Nothobranchius furzeri: one gene and its partners. The main gene of each other region encodes a partner of the protein of the gene in region 3 in a complex. Links are inferred from orthologs where the notes say so. Each region holds a gene or a part of one and is shown on either strand. Other genes may lie near its edges.

Region 1 (6,046 bases), on a different chromosome or scaffold from region 3:
CAGCGAGTAGAGAAAAACGATCGTCTGCACCGTCTTCCCGAGGCCCATTTCATCGGCCAGGATGGTATCTGTCCCTTGAGCCCAGGAAAATCTCAACCAGTTCAGTCCCTCTAGCTGGTACGGGTGCAGTGTTCCCCCAGTGGCATTTATGTACCAGGGCTGGTGCTCAAACTTTATGGTTGGCTGAGGATGCAAAAACACAAGAGAGATATTGAATAAATAAACAAAAGTGGTCCCCTAAGTAACAAAAGCACCTCACATCTATGATAGGAGCATCCGGAGGGACTTCTCTTTTTGGGTAGTCCTCTTTCTGCTTCTTTCCTTTCCTGACCACCAGAGGGCGCTGGTCTTCTCCTAATATTTGCTCTCTGAAAAACAAGTGCAGAAGTTTCTTTGGATGGCAGGACTCAGCGACTCAAACAGATGAGAGGGCTGACAGTAAAGGTAAAAGCTGCAGAATGTCGCTACCTGTGGTCCCAGTATAACGATTTATGTATTTCATATTCCGGAACGTCAAAATCATCCATCTCCCACGTGCACTGATCGTATGGTAGGTCTCTCCACTTGATCAGGAAATGCACATCACCATCTTTGTCAAAACTACAGAGGAGACAAGATTTTTATGTTGGGACTGGAATGTTTGGGATTACATGACTAAGAAGAAAACAAGAAAAAGAAAATAACTAAATGTAAACATTGTGGTTCCTTTACAAAAATAATTATTCCTCATTTAAATGATGACAAACTTTGAGAGTGAGTGCAAGCAGGCACCTGTGGTTCACCATCCGGTGGATAACCATCCATTCTGGTTTGATGCCGTAACGGTAGAAGCGCTCCTCCATCACAGCGTACTGGGGGTCTTTGCTCTTCCTCTTCTCGTTGTTGAGCTCCTCTTCTCCGGAGCCGTAGTCAAATGGCGGGGGCTCGTCCATGTCGTTCTTGCGCTGGTAGTTCCGATACATGACCGTGTGGTAAAGCTCCAGCTGCACGACCCCAAACACACGCACACGCACACACAATACACAGACACACGTACACGCACACGCACACACACAGACGATTCTGGTCAGGTAAACTCCTACTTAAAGCCACGTTCAGTAGATTTAGTTTGCTTTTAGCACCCCGTAGAGTCCTTTAATCATTTACTGTCGTAGAACCAAAAGTGAAACTCTTCTTTGCTGTGCGTTCATCTCATAAAACATCTTAATCTAACTGCTGAAATGTCTCCTCAGCCTTCATTAGCTTCTACAGGAGTGATTCATCACCAACTCAAACAAATCAGCTGTGTTGATGATCTACAACATGCAGGAAATGCCCTGGAAGCAGACTTCAGCACTAGCGTGTCAGCTCCACTTTACTACTGACTTATGGGCCATTCCCATCTGTACCGGGTCGGCCCGGGCCGGGTAGCGTAGGTTGTTTACACATCTGGGCGGCCTGGTATTTTTCCGGGCCAACCAAGGCTCATTCTCAGCCCTCTTCTCGAGGGGGTCTGCTTCAGGCCGACCAGGGCCAACACACCCACTGCTGACAGTAAATCCACACCTTCCATTAGAGCAAGCCTCTGATTGGTGGGTAGAATCAGCCCACATGGGCTTAAGACAAGGATGTGTGGAATCAACCGGGCCAGGCTGGGGCCGACTGGGGCTACCCAGCCCGGGCCGACCCGGTACAGATGGGAATGGCCCATAACAGACCGGTCCAGATACTCTGAGGTTGCACGGCAGCATTCTGGCCACAGAGGGCATGGGGGTCAGCATGGCCTTTCATTAACCCTGTAAAGGGTCATTTTAGCACATACTGGCTCAAGAAAATGCCTAAAATGTGAAAAATGTGCATAGTATGCCCTTAACAGATTCATTAGAAAATGATATTTTTTAGAGAAATTGTATTGCATTCTACTTTGGAAATAGGACAGTCAGTGACTAAACTGAGTAACTTTTGCTCCTGAAACTAGATGTTTGTTTTTGTGAAAACCTAAAATACCAAATAATGTTCAGTAACCCCCCGACTTTCCTGTGTCCCACATTCATCACAGAAGACAGATCGTTACTGTTGCTAAATGCTGGTTTTGGAAACCGGCTCCACCTCTGGCGTCTCACCTGCAGCTCGCTGACCCAGGAGCAGTGCCAGTACGACAGGCCAGCCCACTTTACAAAGAACTCCCTCTCTGGGCGGCCCTTGAGGGGGGGCTTGGCCATGGGATCAGGCAGCTTGCCAACAGGATGTGCAGGAGATTCCGACGGCAGCGGAGGGTCTCCCCACCTCCAGTGCAGAATCTTCTGAACTTTTCCTTTGAGAGGAGGACACTGAGCAAGAACAGAAGTAATGCATGTTGTTTAAACCACTTAACCAAAGCAAAAAAGGACTAAACGTTGATGAACACCAGCTTGTGAGGATACAGAGCATTAAACATATCTGGACTGAGCTCACCATGCAGCGAGGACACAGCCATTCCCCGTTTGGGATCTCAGGAAGAGGTGGGTTCAGGCAGTGGATGTGGTAGGACGAAGGGCACGTGTCACAGCACAGGAGCTCTCCTCCATCTTTACACACTCTGCAAAACTCCATGTGGTCATCCTCCTCCTCACCTGCAGCCTCCTCTTCCTCCTCCTCCTCATCCTTGGCCTCCCACTGAATTCCCTCCTTCTCCTGAAGATAAAAGGTTACAAAACAAAATGCAACACGTTCCTTCTCGTGAGGAAAGCCACTAAATAAAGCGGCGCCAACATAACTTTGTCTAGATAAGCTATTTTTATTGCTCCATGAAAATATTAAAGTGCATTTTTTAAACAAAGCTTGGAGGATTTTTTGTGCTCAAGTCAAACGTTCTAGAGCACGGTCTGTTTCACAAATTCATTCAAGCGTTAAATATCTCGTGAAACAGCCGGCAACTGTTTGCTCTGACGAGGGTAAACTTCTTTGGTGACAAAAACCTTCATGGAGAAAACCGGTCTGATCTAGACAGCTGGCTGCAGCAAATCTACAAAACAAGCTAGCTTCTAGACAATCTTCATGCCTCTTAACAATGTTTTAACTAGGAGCAGAGCGATGTATCAGCTGGCCGATATCTGATATTTTTATATAATCGGCATCGGCCGACATTCCTCCTTAGTAAAGTCGATTTAAAGTCAGGCATATCCCAGGGCAGCCTGGAGCTGCTGCAGAATTTAAAGGTATATTTATGTTCCTGAATAACATCTGAAATGTTCTAACATTAATATTTAACTACAATTTATTTGTAAGAACCCGTTGAGAATAATTAATTGTTGGTTGGGTAATTGATTTGTTTGACTTTAGTTGGATGTCTGATTTAAACATTGACCAGTGCTTTAACTTTAATTTAGTGTTCAAAAACAGATTCAGCTGCAGACATTTAGTGCATCAGCTCACGTTATTAATGACATTCCAGCATCTAAATAAGGTGGTGGGCTAAACGTCTAGATTTTGGCCGTTACTGGCCTCTGATTGGCTGACAGCAACAGGACTGTTCTGCTGCTTCCAGTCGCTCGTCTTTCTTGGGTAAAAAGTGCAACATTGATGTTTTATCTCCACAAACATCACAAGCATTAACATGTGACGCTATGTTGTGGATTTGTTAATGCTAACAGTTAGCTTCTGCTAGTCAGGACGGGGCTGCGCAGTGGCACAGTGGTTAGAGCTGTTGCCTTGTAGCAAGAAGGTCCTGGGTTCGCTTCCCAGCCTGGGATCTTTCTGCATGGAGTTTGCATGTTCTCCCTGTGCATATGTGGGTTCTCTCCGGGTACTCCGGCTTCCTCCCACAGTCCAAAAACATGACTGTTAGGTTGATTGGTCTGTCTAAATTGTCCTTAGGTGTGAGTGTGTGTGTGCTTGATCGATTGTCCTGTGTGTCTCTGTGTTGCTCTGCAATGGACTGGCTCTCTGTACAGGGTGTACCCCACCCGATTGCCCGTTGACCGCTGGAGATAGCCCCCCCCCCACCCCCCGGCGCGCGACCCTGCGTGGACAAAGTGGGTTCAGAAAATGGATGGATGGATAGTCAGGATGGACTTTGCTCTCTCCTTCCTGGGGGCAGTCCTAAGCCAAGGCGGGGCCATGAATTTCCCCCGTGACATGTAAGAGACTGGCTTTTTCTGACCCAATCGTTTAATTGTCAGTTTCCTTTTTGCAGCTAATGCAAGAATTGGGGGCTGGAGAATGTTTTCACATTCAGCGTGCATGTGAAACTCAGAGTGACCGACTGAATTTCATAAAGAACGATTATTACATGATTTCTCTGAGTCCCATGCCTTTAAAAACAATGAATTAACATTATTTATGTCACTTTGAGGGCTGCGCAGTGGCGCAGTGGTTAGAGCTGTTGCCTTGCAGCAAGAAGGTCCCGGGTTCGCTTCCCGGCCTGGGATCTTTCTGCATGGAGTTTGCATGTTCTCCCTGTGCATGCGTGGGTTCTCTCCGGGTACTCCGGCTTCCTCCCACAAAAACACGATAGTCAGGTTGACTGGTCTCTCTAAATTGTCCTGAGTGTGTGTGTGCATGCTTCATTGTTTGTCCTGTGTGTCTCTGTGTTGCCCTGGGATGGACTGGCTCTTTGTCCAGAGTGTACCCCGCCTACTTGCCCATTGACCGCTGGAGATAGGCACCAGCCCCCCGCGACCCTACATGGACAAGCGGGTTCAGAAAATAAATGGATGGATGGATGGATCGATGGATATGTCACTTTGTACTCAAATTAAGTCTGAAACGACACTTGCTGATTAGACTGGACCCAAACACCAATCTCAGCTTTCATCCAGGAAATCAAGAGCTTATATACTGCTAACAATGATGCTCACGAGATGCAAGAAAAAATGGGTGCAATGAATGATGAGATAAATACAAAACAAGACATTTAGGACCACATCTAAATAATGATTCAGTACTAGCAGACAGAGGATGGTGCAGATGAAATATCCTGTCTACCTGTATTATTCCAAAGGGCTACATATTCCTCTACTTGCATCACCAACATTCTGCTCATCCAGGATGTTGCCCCAAAGCATTGTCTTAATAAATGAGCATGCAGGCAGTGACATAATATGCCAGTTTCTGGGTTACCAGCTCAGTGACCGAGTGGTAATGTCCACCCTGGAACTGGGGGATCGTGGGTTCAAATCCATGGTCAGGTCGTACCAGAGACTTTACAAATGGGACCTAACGCCTCCGTGTCTGCAGCTCACCGCTCCCCCAGGTGATGGGTCGAATGCGGAGAACAAACGTCACACACCAGTGTGACAACTACTGGGACTTTAACGTTAAATGAATGGATGTACTCACACAGTGTGGACAGCTCCATTTTCCTTCAGGTGCTTTTTCCAGCTCAGGGTCCAGACAGACCAGGTGGTAAGCCCGTGGACAGGTGTCGCACAAGATAATCTCTCCACCCTGCTGGCAAACCTCACAGTAGTCCTGGTGGTCCGTCTCATAGCCATCGCCATCCTCCTCTACGGAAAGCAAAAGAACTGTTTAAGTTCTGACGAAAACGAAGCTACTCAACCCTGATCAGGCTCTAAATCTGAATAAACTCCATGAGTTTTAGAGCAACAGCTGCTGTAAAAGATCACCTCTCCTGCGTTGCCAAAATAAACACAGCTTTTAAAAAGTACTTTTTAATTACCTCATTACCCGTCATCAAACAGTCTGGCTTTGAGAGATTTCTGTGGGATTTTTCAGGGGGAGAAAAGCACACACCAGAGCTCAGAAAGAGTAAATAGTAAACATACTTTTCCTTTTTTTCCGCCCACGCCGGGCCTTTTTCTTGGTGGCAGCCCCTGAGGTATCAGAAAGCACCGAGGCACTGTGGATACTGATGTCATCAAAGTCTGACTCCTCCAGGATGTCCTCCTCACTCTGGAAAAATCAAACACAGACTCAGGAGCTTGGAGCAAAACAGAAAACTCACATAGTGAAGCCTCCCAGTCAGAATAGTAAGTGTGAAATGGTGATCGTTGAGAGGCTGAAAGTATTTAAAATACATACGGAGGACGCTTTCTTCTTCTTCCCACTTTGACCTGACTTTGATTTA
Region 2 (6,146 bases), on a different chromosome or scaffold from region 3:
TATTATTATTGTCAACTTTTTTACCGGGGTTTACCGCTACACCGGTTACCGTGACAACCCTAGTTGGCACTACCCCACTCTCTGCTGCTAAAGCTACTGATAGCAAATGCTACGGGCTATGCCTGAGCATGAAGCATGAAGCAGCCTGCTCGACCTGAGCATCTCTCTTTTTCTGTGATTTTACAAAAAAACAGGCAATCACAGTAAAAATGCCAGGGCTCATTCTACAGGACCAGGGCATTGCAGGAGAATGTATGAAGAAGAAATTTATTATTTCTATACATGTTTTGGCTGCCAAACTTCCATAATGCCCCTTTAAGCTCAGCAACCAAAAAAAATGTACTTACGCCAAGTAGGTTTATGATCTATCAAACATGGAGTATGCACAGCTGCACGCAATCTCCACTTCATAAATCGGAGACTGTTTCTCAGTTGAATTTTAGTCACATCCCGCCCTCGCCACGCCCACTTACTGCCATAAATAGTCAATGCAAAATGCCTTGTGGATCTCATGCATATACATAAGCCGGCTGTTGCAGCGCTCCGCCAATGACATGGCGACTATAGATCAAGGCAGATCAAGGAAGCGCTATTTCACAGAAGCAGAAATTGAGGTACTTGTGGGTGAGGTGGAGAAATGAAAGGAAGTGCTTTTGCAAAAAAAATAACAGAAAATCCACGGAGTGGCACAGCGTTGCTGAAGCAGTCAATGTTGTGAATTCTTCAGAGAGATCTGTGGCGGATATAAAAAAAATGGTCCAATCGGGATTCGATCCCCAGACTCCTGGGTGAAAGTCACACACGCTAACCAGTCATCCAAATGGAGATCTCCCCTGTACAAGTAGCCAGGGCTACTGATCAATCGAGTCACAGTGACAGGACACACACTGTCACAGACGCATGACATTCTGTCTCAATCTGTCCCCTTGCTGATATTTTGCATTCCGTATTCTGCGCTTCAGGCTGTGTGTGTGTGGGGGGGTGGGGGGGTGGGGGTCTTGTTCTGTGTGAAAACAAAGCAGTACAAGTGATAATGCTGCAGGATTTCATAATTTTATCCTTCTCAGCAGCAACACTGCAGGTGCTCTCCATGTCCAAAATGTACGTAAGCCAGGTCCTTAGTCAACTTAAAGTTGCGCACATTTTTCTACTACGTTTTCTTTCATGAATCCCAAAGTTTGCGTGGAAAGTTGCTTACGCAGTTTTCCGACCCCGTTTTGTGCGTAAGCAAGCCTGATAAATGAGGCCCCAGAACTTAGAGATGTGGTGGAATGGGAGATTCATCGTGTATGTTGCTATGTGATGCAGTCATGTTAATTTGGACCAACATGGACTCTGAGAAATGCATCTATAATCTTGTAGAATTCATTTCTGAAGGCATCTGCCTCCAGTAAGCTGTACCTAATAAAGTGACCAGTGGGTGGATGCATTTTAGGGGAACATTTTGCTGATTGGCTTGTTGCAGTTCTGAAAAATACCAACTAGCAGAGTCACCACAGCTTCCAGTAGAAACAGGGGCTTAATAATGGACTCCTGCTCCACAAATGCTGGGAACGAGAGATTAGAGCTAATTCTGTAATCTTGCACGAAAAGGCTTTTAAGACACTAATTTCAGGTTTTGGCACTTAATATTCTCACAGTTAATTTCTCAACATGTAGACACAAATAATTTAAATACATTTTACAACAAAAAGGACAGAATCAAAAAGGAAATCTACTTTTACTCTGATCAAGAAAAACAGACATTTTACATGTTAGCTGCTGTTTATCAGATGTGATGCTGCACCGCCTCTCAAAACTCTGGGTGTTTTTTCTCATAACGACGTTATTCAAGCAGATCAGAATCGGATGCAGGAAATAAAAGAATATTTTAAAATGAAATGCGTTTTAAGAACAGGTGCAGATTTTCTGTTGCAGCTCGAGTGGTTTGCACGGAGTTGAAGATAGCGGTTTTACATTAAACCTCAGGGAAAAAAGTTTGGACAGGGCTGCAGTTGATGGAATAAAATATGATTTGTGAGATTTCCCAAAACGTCACAGAAAACCTACTGCTGCAGCTGCGTGTGTGTGTGTGTGTGTGTGTGTGTGTGTGTGTGTGTGTGTGTGTGTGTGTGTGTGTGTGTGTATTTTACCTCAGCTGTTATGTAGATTAAACAAACCCTATTCTTAAGCTTGACACAACTTCTGTATAACAAACAATTATTAAGCATGGTCCTTTATTAGCCAATCACATTCATTTCAGGATGCATGCCCACTGACTAAATCCCTCCAATAAAAATTCTGGATTTCTACAATTTATAATAATAAAATCAAACCACCACGTACAGTTCCTCTTCCCATTTACTCAGCAATTTACTGAACTAGGTCTGAACTTGGTGGTCTGACACACTTCTTCAACATATTTTTTGGATGGGGACACAAGGAAAAAGGTGATACAGGCAGCAGATGAGTGGTTTGTGGCCAGCACAGTTAAAAAAATAAAAATAAAAAGACATCAAAGCCCAAGGATGCTTCTTATTATCTTGTAAAATTGCAGCCATCTCTTCAAGGGCAGCTCTTTGTTGTGATGCTGCTCTGAAAGGATCCTTGTTATCAGGCCTCATTTCTGGCCTTTTTTTAATCTAGATTATTACAACAGAAGAAAAATAATCCCAAAGTGTGTTTACTCAGCAATTAATAAGAGTTCATTGTTGTGGTTTCAGTTCAGTTTGGCCAAATTCAATTATTACTAGGTTTACTAGACAGACTCAACAATATTTTACTAAAATAACAACTTAAGACGTAAATGTGAGTGGTTTAGTGCCATTTGATATATATCACTTGCTGGAGTAAAGTGAAGTAACATGTGTTCCAAAATGTGCATTTTCAGCTAATAAACAAACAGCAAAGGAAAATAATCTTTGCACAACTGGTTTGAAAAACCTAGCGCATCAATAAAACTGAGTGGCATGAAGAAACTGAACAAAGTGACATTTGGTGACTGAATTGTTAACTTTCTACCCCTCTCTGGACTAATCCTGTTCTCACGCAGGTAGGCCTCCTTTAATTTGATATATGACGTTCACTTTGGGCTATTTCTGATGCTGTATCCGAGCCAAGTACAGTCACAGCATCCCTGAATTACAGAACAGTTGTCAGAGTAAATATGTGGTAATGTACAACAACACAGAAACGCTCACTATACAACATCATTCCAAACAGGAGTGGACACTAATCTGGGCACTAAAGTATGTGGAAAATAAATAAATAAAAACAAAAAGATCACGATTGGACACTGCCACGTGACTATCTTACACCTGTCTTACCTGAGTGGGACTCAAGAATCTTCATTAGGTATTAAGAGACTCCCTGGATGTGCAAAAAGCTTAATCTGGAATATTTTGTTGGTCATTTCTACATTTAAAGTGTTAAAACTAAATGTAGTGTAAAGTTTTTGTCCCGGCTGCCTCCTTGCATTGATGCCTATGCGGTTCCAGTAAAGTACTCACGATGTTCCTTACAGGAGGCAGCAGAAAGAACAATAGTTAGGTGAAACTTTCAGAAAACCCGTGACATGTTATTTAAAATAAACTAAACCGTCATGGAGGGTTCAGGTGTGCCAGAACACCGAGATGGCTCTCTGGGTTCATTAAGGGGGAAAACAGCAAAAGAAGCAAATGTTTAAGAGAACCGCTCGCTGCTCTTCATCACCATCCTCCTCCTCCTCACCATCATCTGCGAGAAGCACAAAGCTCTCCCAGCTTACGGAAATGTTTTTAAAAGACGAGCCACGCTCATAACGAGCTTCCGTGGGTAATGGCGAGTCCGCCGAGTAAAAACGCCACACGGCTCCGAAACGCAAACGCCCCAAAGCTTACCTCCAACCCGGTACATGTTGGCTGCCATGACTGCCCCCGGTCCCGGGCTTCCTCTCCAGGTAGAGGGGTGGCTCTCTGCTCTCTCCCGCTGCCGGAGCTGTGTGTTGGAAAATGGTGGATTGATCAATACGAAACAGACTGCCCGAGAGACCTTAAAGAGACAGTACACCTTTTCAGGAAACCCAACTTATCGGCACGGATAACAAAGGGCGCGTTAATCTCACTACTTATTACCTTTATAACATCGTCAGTGGCTAACTACGCCATTATTTCTTAATATATATCTCAATATGCGTCACAGTCACCGCAGTAGCCCACCGCCTTTCGGTTTAGTCGTGTTTTTGTTAATAGTTAAAGTAGTTATCTGGTAGTTAGAATAGTTATTAAGATAAAGTAAACTCGCCTGTTTTTGTAACTTTGTCCCAATTTTTTGTTCTCCCTCATCAACTGAAATATCGCGAGATTTGAGAGTAAACCCCTTTACGTGACCTCTGGGTCACGCTTGACGTTAGAAGGGGTGTAATTAATAATTATTTTATCGTCTACACTGCTGTGCTCAGTGAAATCAACAATTTAATTATTTTGCTATAAAAATGCAAACTGAATGCAATATATTTTAAATAAGCCCCAAAACTCAAGGAGTTGACCCACTAATTTCCCTTCCCTGGGACAAATAAAGCTTTTCATTCATTTCATTCGTCATTCACTATGTTTATGAACTGTACAAGGAGTTCATGGGGATTGTATATAGAAATGTATCATGGGTTTATTCGCTCATTTAATTCATTTCCAAATATGTGTATTATTTTAAAAGAAGCAGTTTAACTCTCATCTTATTCTGAAGGTGTTTACCGGCCTTAACAACACTAGCAGAACAATCTGTACAGATCATTTTATTAGCAAAAATTTACACGTACAAGTGAATTGTATCAGTGACTGAACCAAAATAAGGACACATACTGCTGTTGCCTAGACGTCAATGCGCAAAATAAAGTACACAGTGTTCTATCGAGGCAAAAACATGCCAAGTGACTCATGGAATGATAATTTGGAACATGCAAGGTTTTAACATTATAAAAAATATCCAGGGATTTCCATGACTCAATAGTTAAATGTTTGCGTTTATGTTGTCTTTTGTTGAAATGGTAAAGGAGAAATGTACTGTAGCATAATCCACCATACAAAATAAATTATACATTTGCTCTGCTTTTGTTATTTTCCCAACACAAACACATACTCTTCTTGGATCCTTGCAGCATGTTGCTACTTATGTATAAATAATACATAAATTGCCTCAAACACCCTGCAAGAGAAATTCTTCTGCTGTCAGAGAAATCATTAGCAAGTGTTAAATATGAGTGACACTCTGTGATGAGAGAATGCAGCATGGTTTTTCCACAGCTTTGTTTTTAAATCTGGATGTGAGTGTAGAGCCTCAGTGCAGGAGGAATGCTGTGGTGAACGCTACATATGATCTATACCATATGGAAGCTTCAATTACTGTGGCCTAACACAAGGGACTACAGTCTGCAGTCACATGACTGTTGCGGGCCAATCGTGTGTAGTTGCAGTGTGCACTCGTTAAGTGTGCAGCATGTGAAGAATCCTGTTTTAAATCCTAGAGCTCTTTTATGGCAAAAAACAAGAGACATGCAGCATGGGAGGGTTTTACACAATAATCTTCAATTTGATCATTTTGAGTTTCCACGGCTCCATGTAATATTCTGTGTTTTTATGTCTGCCGGTATGGGCTTAATTGAAGAAAAAGGAATAGTCGACTGTAGCCTGATTTTTGGGAACTGTATCTACTTTCATTAGACCTGTTTACTTGGCAGCTTGCTGCTGTTGCAGATGTTCATTTTGAATCTACTTGCTCCTCTGCCAGATGTTGCTGTAGTCAGGATGACGAGCAGACAAGCGTGCAGGCAGGGCAGGTGTTTTCCCTGGTGGATTCCAGTCTGTAGTTTGGCTCAAAACTCAGCAAATCTTCTGAAACTTTTTTATTTGCTATCCTGGAAGATGACCTTGGATGAATTCCCTTCCCTCTTCTCCAACACGTTGCAGCTAGAGATGCACGGGAGAGACAAAGACACAAAGGAAATCAATTAGGACTGTATCCCTGAAGAAGCATCACATGCCACTGAATGTGCTTCCACAGATCTCTCTCTGGTGGGTGTAAGAAGGAAGGGTTAGAAATAAGGCCATTGTCGTGGCACTTTCTCCTGAACACCTCACAGAGAATATTCTTGATTAACTGAATGAAAAGCCTAATTACTTTTATTATAGAGC
Region 3 (6,146 bases):
TATTTTTTGTTTTTGCTTCCGTTAGTTGAAAAATGAGAAAAGCCCCTTGAGAAAATAATTGTGAATTAAACTGCAATTGCAATATTGAAGAAAAAAATCGCAATTAGATTATTTTACAAAATCGTTCAGCCCTAGTTCAGAGTATTTTAAGCTAAGCTAACGCTATTAGAAGTACCCATTTCAATCGGGAAAATAAGTGCGCTTTTATCATTCTGAACCGGAAGTTGACTGCCAATGTTGAGGGTAGCTTGACAAAGCGGACATTTGTTGGCTTTATGTAAGCTGATGGCAAGTAGTGACATCTGACTGTTTAGTTTGGATAATGGGCTCGACACACGGGAGGCGACGTCGCCTCTCCTCCATTAATTTTCAATGAGACATGCGTGACAAAGCGATAATCGCGGGTCTCCCTCCTACCAAGCGAAACGCGAAAAACGTGCGTGTGAAACTTTGCACTCGTGCACGTGTCGTGCACGGACGACCCAGCGACGCGATCCCAGAAAGTTGAAACATTTTCAACTTTTCATCGCTGTCGCTCGGATGAGGACCAATCAACGGAGGTTTCATTCACTGACCAATGAGCGGACAGGATGCTCCGTACATCTCCGAGCAAACATGGAGGAGAAGTTGATTATTATTATGTTTTATAGTAAAATCAGAAGTAAGATTTCACATAACTCTAGCAGCACCTTGTGAAACATCATATCTACCACTTTATTAACTCTGAACCGCTTAAATAACCTTAATTCCCTCCAACCTGACACAGCCAATCAAAACAACGGAAGTTTCGATTTCGCCGTGGAACAGAACGCGTAGACGGCTTTGCCGCTGGCCGCTACCGCGGATCGCCTCCCGTGTGACAGGTAATAAAAGCGACGGCGACAAATTTCACTGATCGCGGTCGTTTGTCGCCTCCCGTGTGTCGAGCCCCTAATAACCGATTATGTGTTGGCAGATGGTTGATATTTGGATGTGGAGTTTCTTGTATAATTTGTTTAAGTTAGACTACACTGTACCTCTAGTACACTAAAATTTAAATAAAACTTCTTTTGGCCAATGGCAGCAGTCACCTGCGAGAATCCCAGAGATGGAGGTCCATAGTCGCTCAGAATGGGCCTGTAGGACTGCAACGTGGCCAGGTTAGCTGCCGACGGAGAAGGAAGGTTCCCAACTGTATGGAGAACAAATAAAAAATCCACATCAGTTCAAATAAACATAGATATTCAATATATGGCTAATTTGTCGCTATTGCAACGTCGTTGCAGCGATCTGCCGTTGATGTCCACGCCCAGTTAAGAGGTTCTGAAACGCTAAAACTCACAGCAAGTGTTGGGAATGCTGTGGTGACAGAATGGAGGAGCGAGGACAACGAATAAAACTGAATGTTTCCCCAATTCTGTGTAGCATTGTTCTCAATATCCTTTCATAAACAGTAGGAGGAAAATATTTATACAACATTTTTATAGCCTAATGACCAGTTAAAGCGCTTTACACACACACACACACACACACACAGGATTCAGAGTCTTGCCCAAGGACATTTCCACATGTGGGAGAAGTCAGGATTGAACCACCAAAGATTTCAAACTGAAGCAATTCTAAAGTAAATATCCTCCCACCAACCAAAAGCGTGTCTTTGGGTGTAAATGGCTGTCTCTGGTGTGAGTCAGAGTGGTTGCTTGTCTCTGTGTTCCTGTGAGGGACTGGAGACTTGTCTAGGGTGACCACTCGTCCGCAGAATGCTGAGACACCAGTTCCCCAAGACCCTATAGAGGATGAGGCGGCACAGAAAAGGAGTCTTCTTCTTTGGCTTTGGGCATGTCCCTCTACAGCCAGTCATCTGTCTCCTTCTAGTCCTGTCTTCCACATCCTCTACCCTCACACCAACTAATGTTATGTCCTCTTTCACTGAATCCCCCCTCAACCTCCTGCCTGCTGACTCCACCCTCGGCATCCTTCTACCTACGTAATGTTTCCTCTGGACCTCTAAGTCTGGTCTCTCTGACTTCATCTCCAAAACAGTGTTCTGCAACCCTGGTCCTCCAGATCTCCTATGTTTTAGTCATTTATTCGTCCCAACAAATGTGACTAACATGCTTCTGCAGCACTTAGTAATTCAACCACTGATTCAGGTTCTTTGGAGCGGGGAAACAAGTAAAACATGCTGGATATGGGAGCCCTCCAGGAGCCCGCTGACCTAACATGAGCTGTCCCCCTGATAAACTCACTCCTGATGCTCATCACTCCCAAACAGAGCCAGAAAATGAGTGAGTGAAAACACAAAGTTCGTAAAATAAAACAGAGGGCTTTTCTTTTGTTAGACATGTTTTCTGCCTTCACTACACCTGGAACTGTAGTGACATCAACAATATATTGATATACTAAAACTCTTTTTAAAAACGCGTTTAAAGAATCTCACGTTGATTGTTCTATTGTAAGCCAGTGATGCTAATTTCATGTAAAACCCGTTTGTGAACACGTTATTAACCCTCTCACACAGCGCCGCGCTGCCTCTTTGTTTAGCTGCAGTACCCGTGTCCAACACCAGGTGTCCTCGATGGGACGTAAAATTCTCAGAGGCAGATCAATCGGCAGCTCCGACCGAGGAGCATCATGGAGGGAACAGAACAAGGCTGGCTCAAGAAGACATAAGTGATACATTTTTGTCACCGTGTAACGGCAACCCCCCGGCGGGACCGCGGCCCCGGACGACGGAGAAACCCATTTTCGGAACCGCCGCCGCCTCGTTTCTCATCCCCACCGTGTTTCTCGGCCGCCGCGGCTCCCGGATGGCGCTCTTTTACATTAGTAATAATGGCGGATATGAATTAGCCTAGCTCCCAGGATCTGACCCTATATATATAACTGGACAAAAACTACAGACACGGTCTTCTCCAGGTATTCTCCGAGACCCCGAATTTAACACTCGATTTAACAGGCGGATGCTTGGATTTTCTCCCACGGTTTCGCCTTACCCTGGTTCCCAGAAGTTCCCGGAATGTGCTGATGGGCATTGGGTTTATAAGACATTCCCAGAGACATTGTAAATTAAAGAAATAAAAATGACCCGAAATTCAGTGAAGCGTCTGTCTCTCACTTTTTGTTTACAACAGCGGCACCGGCAAATATGGCCGTCACTTTATATTGACACCCACCGAGTTTCTACCATCCACTGCGGCTCAGCAGGAAAAACACTTAAAACACGGTTTTCACCAAGAAGGCGTGAAAATCAGCCGCTTTTACACACATTTAGCCTGATTTTATGTAAGAAAGTTAACTCCGGCCCACGGACTTTTAACACTTACAGAAGAATCAACTTTTGAAGGTTTTTATGTTAACTTTGAAATTTTATTTTTCAGATTAAAAGAAAATAATGAGTTTTTACATCATAACAAGAAACTTGATGCAGATGTTTGGAGATGCTTAGTTTGCGTTAAGTCAAACAAATGAGCGAGTTTTATTTACAACACTTAAAAAAATTATGAAAGAAAATAAAGAAATTAAATTACCTAATTTGTTTTGTGTGGGAACTTCCATCGTTTTATTCGCGGATGTTTTAAACCAAAAATCAAAGCAGAAGGCAGGAGCTGTTCTGGTGACCCATGTGCTCGTCTTCTTTTTAAAACTAGGCTTTTCAGGGATCCCTTTTTTCCCCCATCAGGCCACGTGGTTGGACAGTGTTAGTCCCAGTGTCGTGACCCCAGTAGGGCAGGGGCCCCCACAATCGCTGACCCGAGGCTGGAGCACGTTTTTATGGAGCATCATCGCTGGCAACTTACAAACTAAGCGTAATCACAAACCGCTGAAGTAAAAATAGGCAAAGGTAATCCACAAAATAAAAGGCTATTTTCATTTGTATAAGTTTATACAGAAACTATTAAAAAGTACTTGTAGTGGCTTTTTGGACAATTGTACACTCTCTGTGTAATGCACATTTTCCAATAGCCACTAGTATTATATATATTTATACATACTTTAATGCTATTTTAGCATTAGTTGTAGAATTTTTTAAGTCTAAACCTCTATAAGGACACAATTTAAAAATGAAAATACATAAACCTGAAAGTAGCTACAAAAAAAAATTTAAGTTAAACCATCAAATTATGAAATATAGTCAATAACTAATGTTTTATATTTGGTGTTTATTTTCTAGTTTGTACAAAAACCAACAGGGTTTATTGAGAATGCACTCCTTCTTGCACAGGTACTGGTGAGTCAGTACAAGTCTTGTCACTAGTGCAACTCCAGCGATGATTTAGGTGGGAGAAAGTCCTTCTGTTGTTTCCGGAGAATCTTAAGCGACCCTTCCCCTTACAACAGCATTCAAAAACAACCTGCACACACTGCAGTTCGTGTACATGACAAAAGCGCGAGGCGTCCGCTTTTAAAAGGTGCACATTCAAGTTAAAACGTAAGCTGCGATTCAGGAGCAGCTCCCCCAGTGCTTTCCAGAGACTGAGATCCACCGTGTGAAGAATTCCAAACTGTACAAATAATACAAAGGTCTGTTTTTAAATGCATCGTCGGTCAAGCAGACGTGGATGCAGACCCACCGCCAGCTAATCCAGAGGATCGGGGTATGTTCGAGAAACCTGCCCCACAAAAACGCATCCTGAGTTTAACAGCCAGTCTTCAGACCTAGTGAGATGTAGGAGTGAGGGGGCAAAAGGGTCACACTTTACCACAGAAAGATTTAATTACAACAGGACCTAAAGAAAGGAGACACCCGTTTGAAATATGTACAAAGAAAACAAGCTGCAAGTCCAGCTGAACGCAGCGAAACATCACTGAAACTGAAGACTCTGGTCATGCTTTTTGGAGCTCTGGGTACGAGCGCCTCCCCTGAGCAGACTCAACAAAAACGGTGTGAAGCCGTCAGGTCAGACTGCTCTGGAAGCAGATAAAGATCATTTCATCAACTCTACATGAATGAAAATCCAACTGCTATAAACTCAAACTCGGGTCAAATGGGGGAGGGGGGGCATCTTTTGGAAAGACCGGGAGTGCAGCAACACAAAATCAGCGGTTATTAGAATGTTAAATAACATTTAACGGATTTATAACACAGACCTCATAATGAGTTTTAACTGAATTGTCAAAAACCTGCAGCTTTTCCTTTTGAGCATCTAGTGGAAGAAAATATCTACAACAGAAAACTAGAAATATACAAAATCTGGACAAAGAAAATCCTTTTTAGCAAACATTAAGCTTCAAACTCATTACATGCTGCCACATCTCCTATCAATAATAAACCGAGCCACTGCTGCAGCGAATCCCTTCTGCATCACTTGAGTTGGTCTTCCCCGCAGACGTGTGTGACGAACATCTTCAGGGCTTCACCGGGCTCCTGACTGCTCTACTAACACAAAGGCATTCTGGACCCGCTCTGGCTGCTTGTGTTGGGATTGAGAAACAAAACAAAACCAGCAGGTGATGATCTTCAGACCCGTGTGTGAAACAAAACCAAATTAACTGGACAGATGTAACTGTTTGGAATACCGACGGTGCTTTGATCTGATTATGAACAGAATGTTGGAATATTTCGAACGATTAATCCTGTATTTCCTAGTGACAGATGCCATGAGTCAAACATCAACACAGGACTTTACTTCAGCCAAAGAAGCTCCTCTGGTTCTTCCACCATTAGCTTGGACCCAGAAAGCTGGACTAACCAGCGGAGATCTACACGCTCGCACTGAATGCCGGGTGTCTGCGTACGAGCAGCGATGTTCGGGAGACTCCGATTTAAAACACAACCGCTGTTTGGCATCCAACAGTCACCACGGCTCGGCGCCTCAGGCTTCGGGGAGGTTTGGTGGAGGGTGAGCAGCCGCGGCTCTGAGACATGCAGGTCAGGGACAGAGACGGGACAGGAGAGGAGACACCACCCGATCTATGTGTTGGGTGCATGGCTGAGGCTTTGAGGGTGAAGCTGCTGCCTCTTCTGCTGCTCCTGCACAGCCAGCTGCTGGCTCTGGTCCGAAGTGGAGAGCTTGTTAATCAGTGGAGAGACGCAGTTTGCTGGAATGATCAGCCCTGTGAGAAAAGCAGGTTAGTCTGAAAACCTTTGGTGAAAAGCCGGTTGTGACTACTTTCACACAGACACATGACCTAACCCTCGCTTCCACTCACCAACTATTCTCTGT

Evidence for each region.
Region 1: cyclin-dependent kinase 2-associated protein 1 (region 3) and chd5 share a complex: the UniProt entries of both Homo sapiens proteins name them as parts of the nucleosome remodeling and deacetylase (NuRD) repressor complex. The link is inferred for Nothobranchius furzeri from reciprocal best matches to the Homo sapiens genes CDK2AP1 and CHD5.
Region 2: cyclin-dependent kinase 2-associated protein 1 (region 3) and mta1 share a complex: the UniProt entries of both Homo sapiens proteins name them as parts of the nucleosome remodeling and deacetylase (NuRD) repressor complex. The link is inferred for Nothobranchius furzeri from reciprocal best matches to the Homo sapiens genes CDK2AP1 and MTA1.

The regions. Positions count from the first base shown.
Region 1 is NC_091743.1:75,304,153-75,310,198, reverse strand, and holds part of chd5 (chromodomain-helicase-DNA-binding protein 5), read right to left. Parts: coding exon 6,001-6,046; intron 5,872-6,000; coding exon 5,745-5,871; intron 5,466-5,744; coding exon 5,299-5,465; intron 2,653-5,298; coding exon 2,434-2,652; intron 2,310-2,433; coding exon 2,103-2,309; intron 984-2,102; coding exon 772-983; intron 601-771; coding exon 469-600; intron 369-468; coding exon 260-368; intron 184-259; coding exon 1-183. UniProt on the Homo sapiens protein: ATP-dependent chromatin-remodeling factor that binds DNA through histones and regulates gene transcription. May specifically recognize and bind trimethylated 'Lys-27' (H3K27me3) and non-methylated 'Lys-4' of histone H3.
Region 2 is NC_091758.1:21,769,616-21,775,761, forward strand, and holds the start of mta1 (metastasis-associated protein MTA1), read right to left. Parts: upstream 3,998-6,146; 5' UTR 3,886-3,997; coding exon 3,858-3,885; intron 1-3,857. UniProt on the Homo sapiens protein: Transcriptional coregulator which can act as both a transcriptional corepressor and coactivator. Acts as a component of the histone deacetylase NuRD complex which participates in the remodeling of chromatin.
Region 3 is NC_091746.1:75,832,332-75,838,477, reverse strand, and holds the start of cyclin-dependent kinase 2-associated protein 1, read right to left. Parts: upstream 3,151-6,146; 5' UTR 3,043-3,150; coding exon 2,976-3,042; intron 1,172-2,975; coding exon 1,071-1,171; intron 1-1,070. Other genes in the region: sbno1 (protein strawberry notch homolog 1), read right to left, coding at 5,894-6,036, 6,133-6,146. UniProt on the Homo sapiens protein: Inhibitor of cyclin-dependent kinase CDK2. Also acts as a component of the histone deacetylase NuRD complex which participates in the remodeling of chromatin.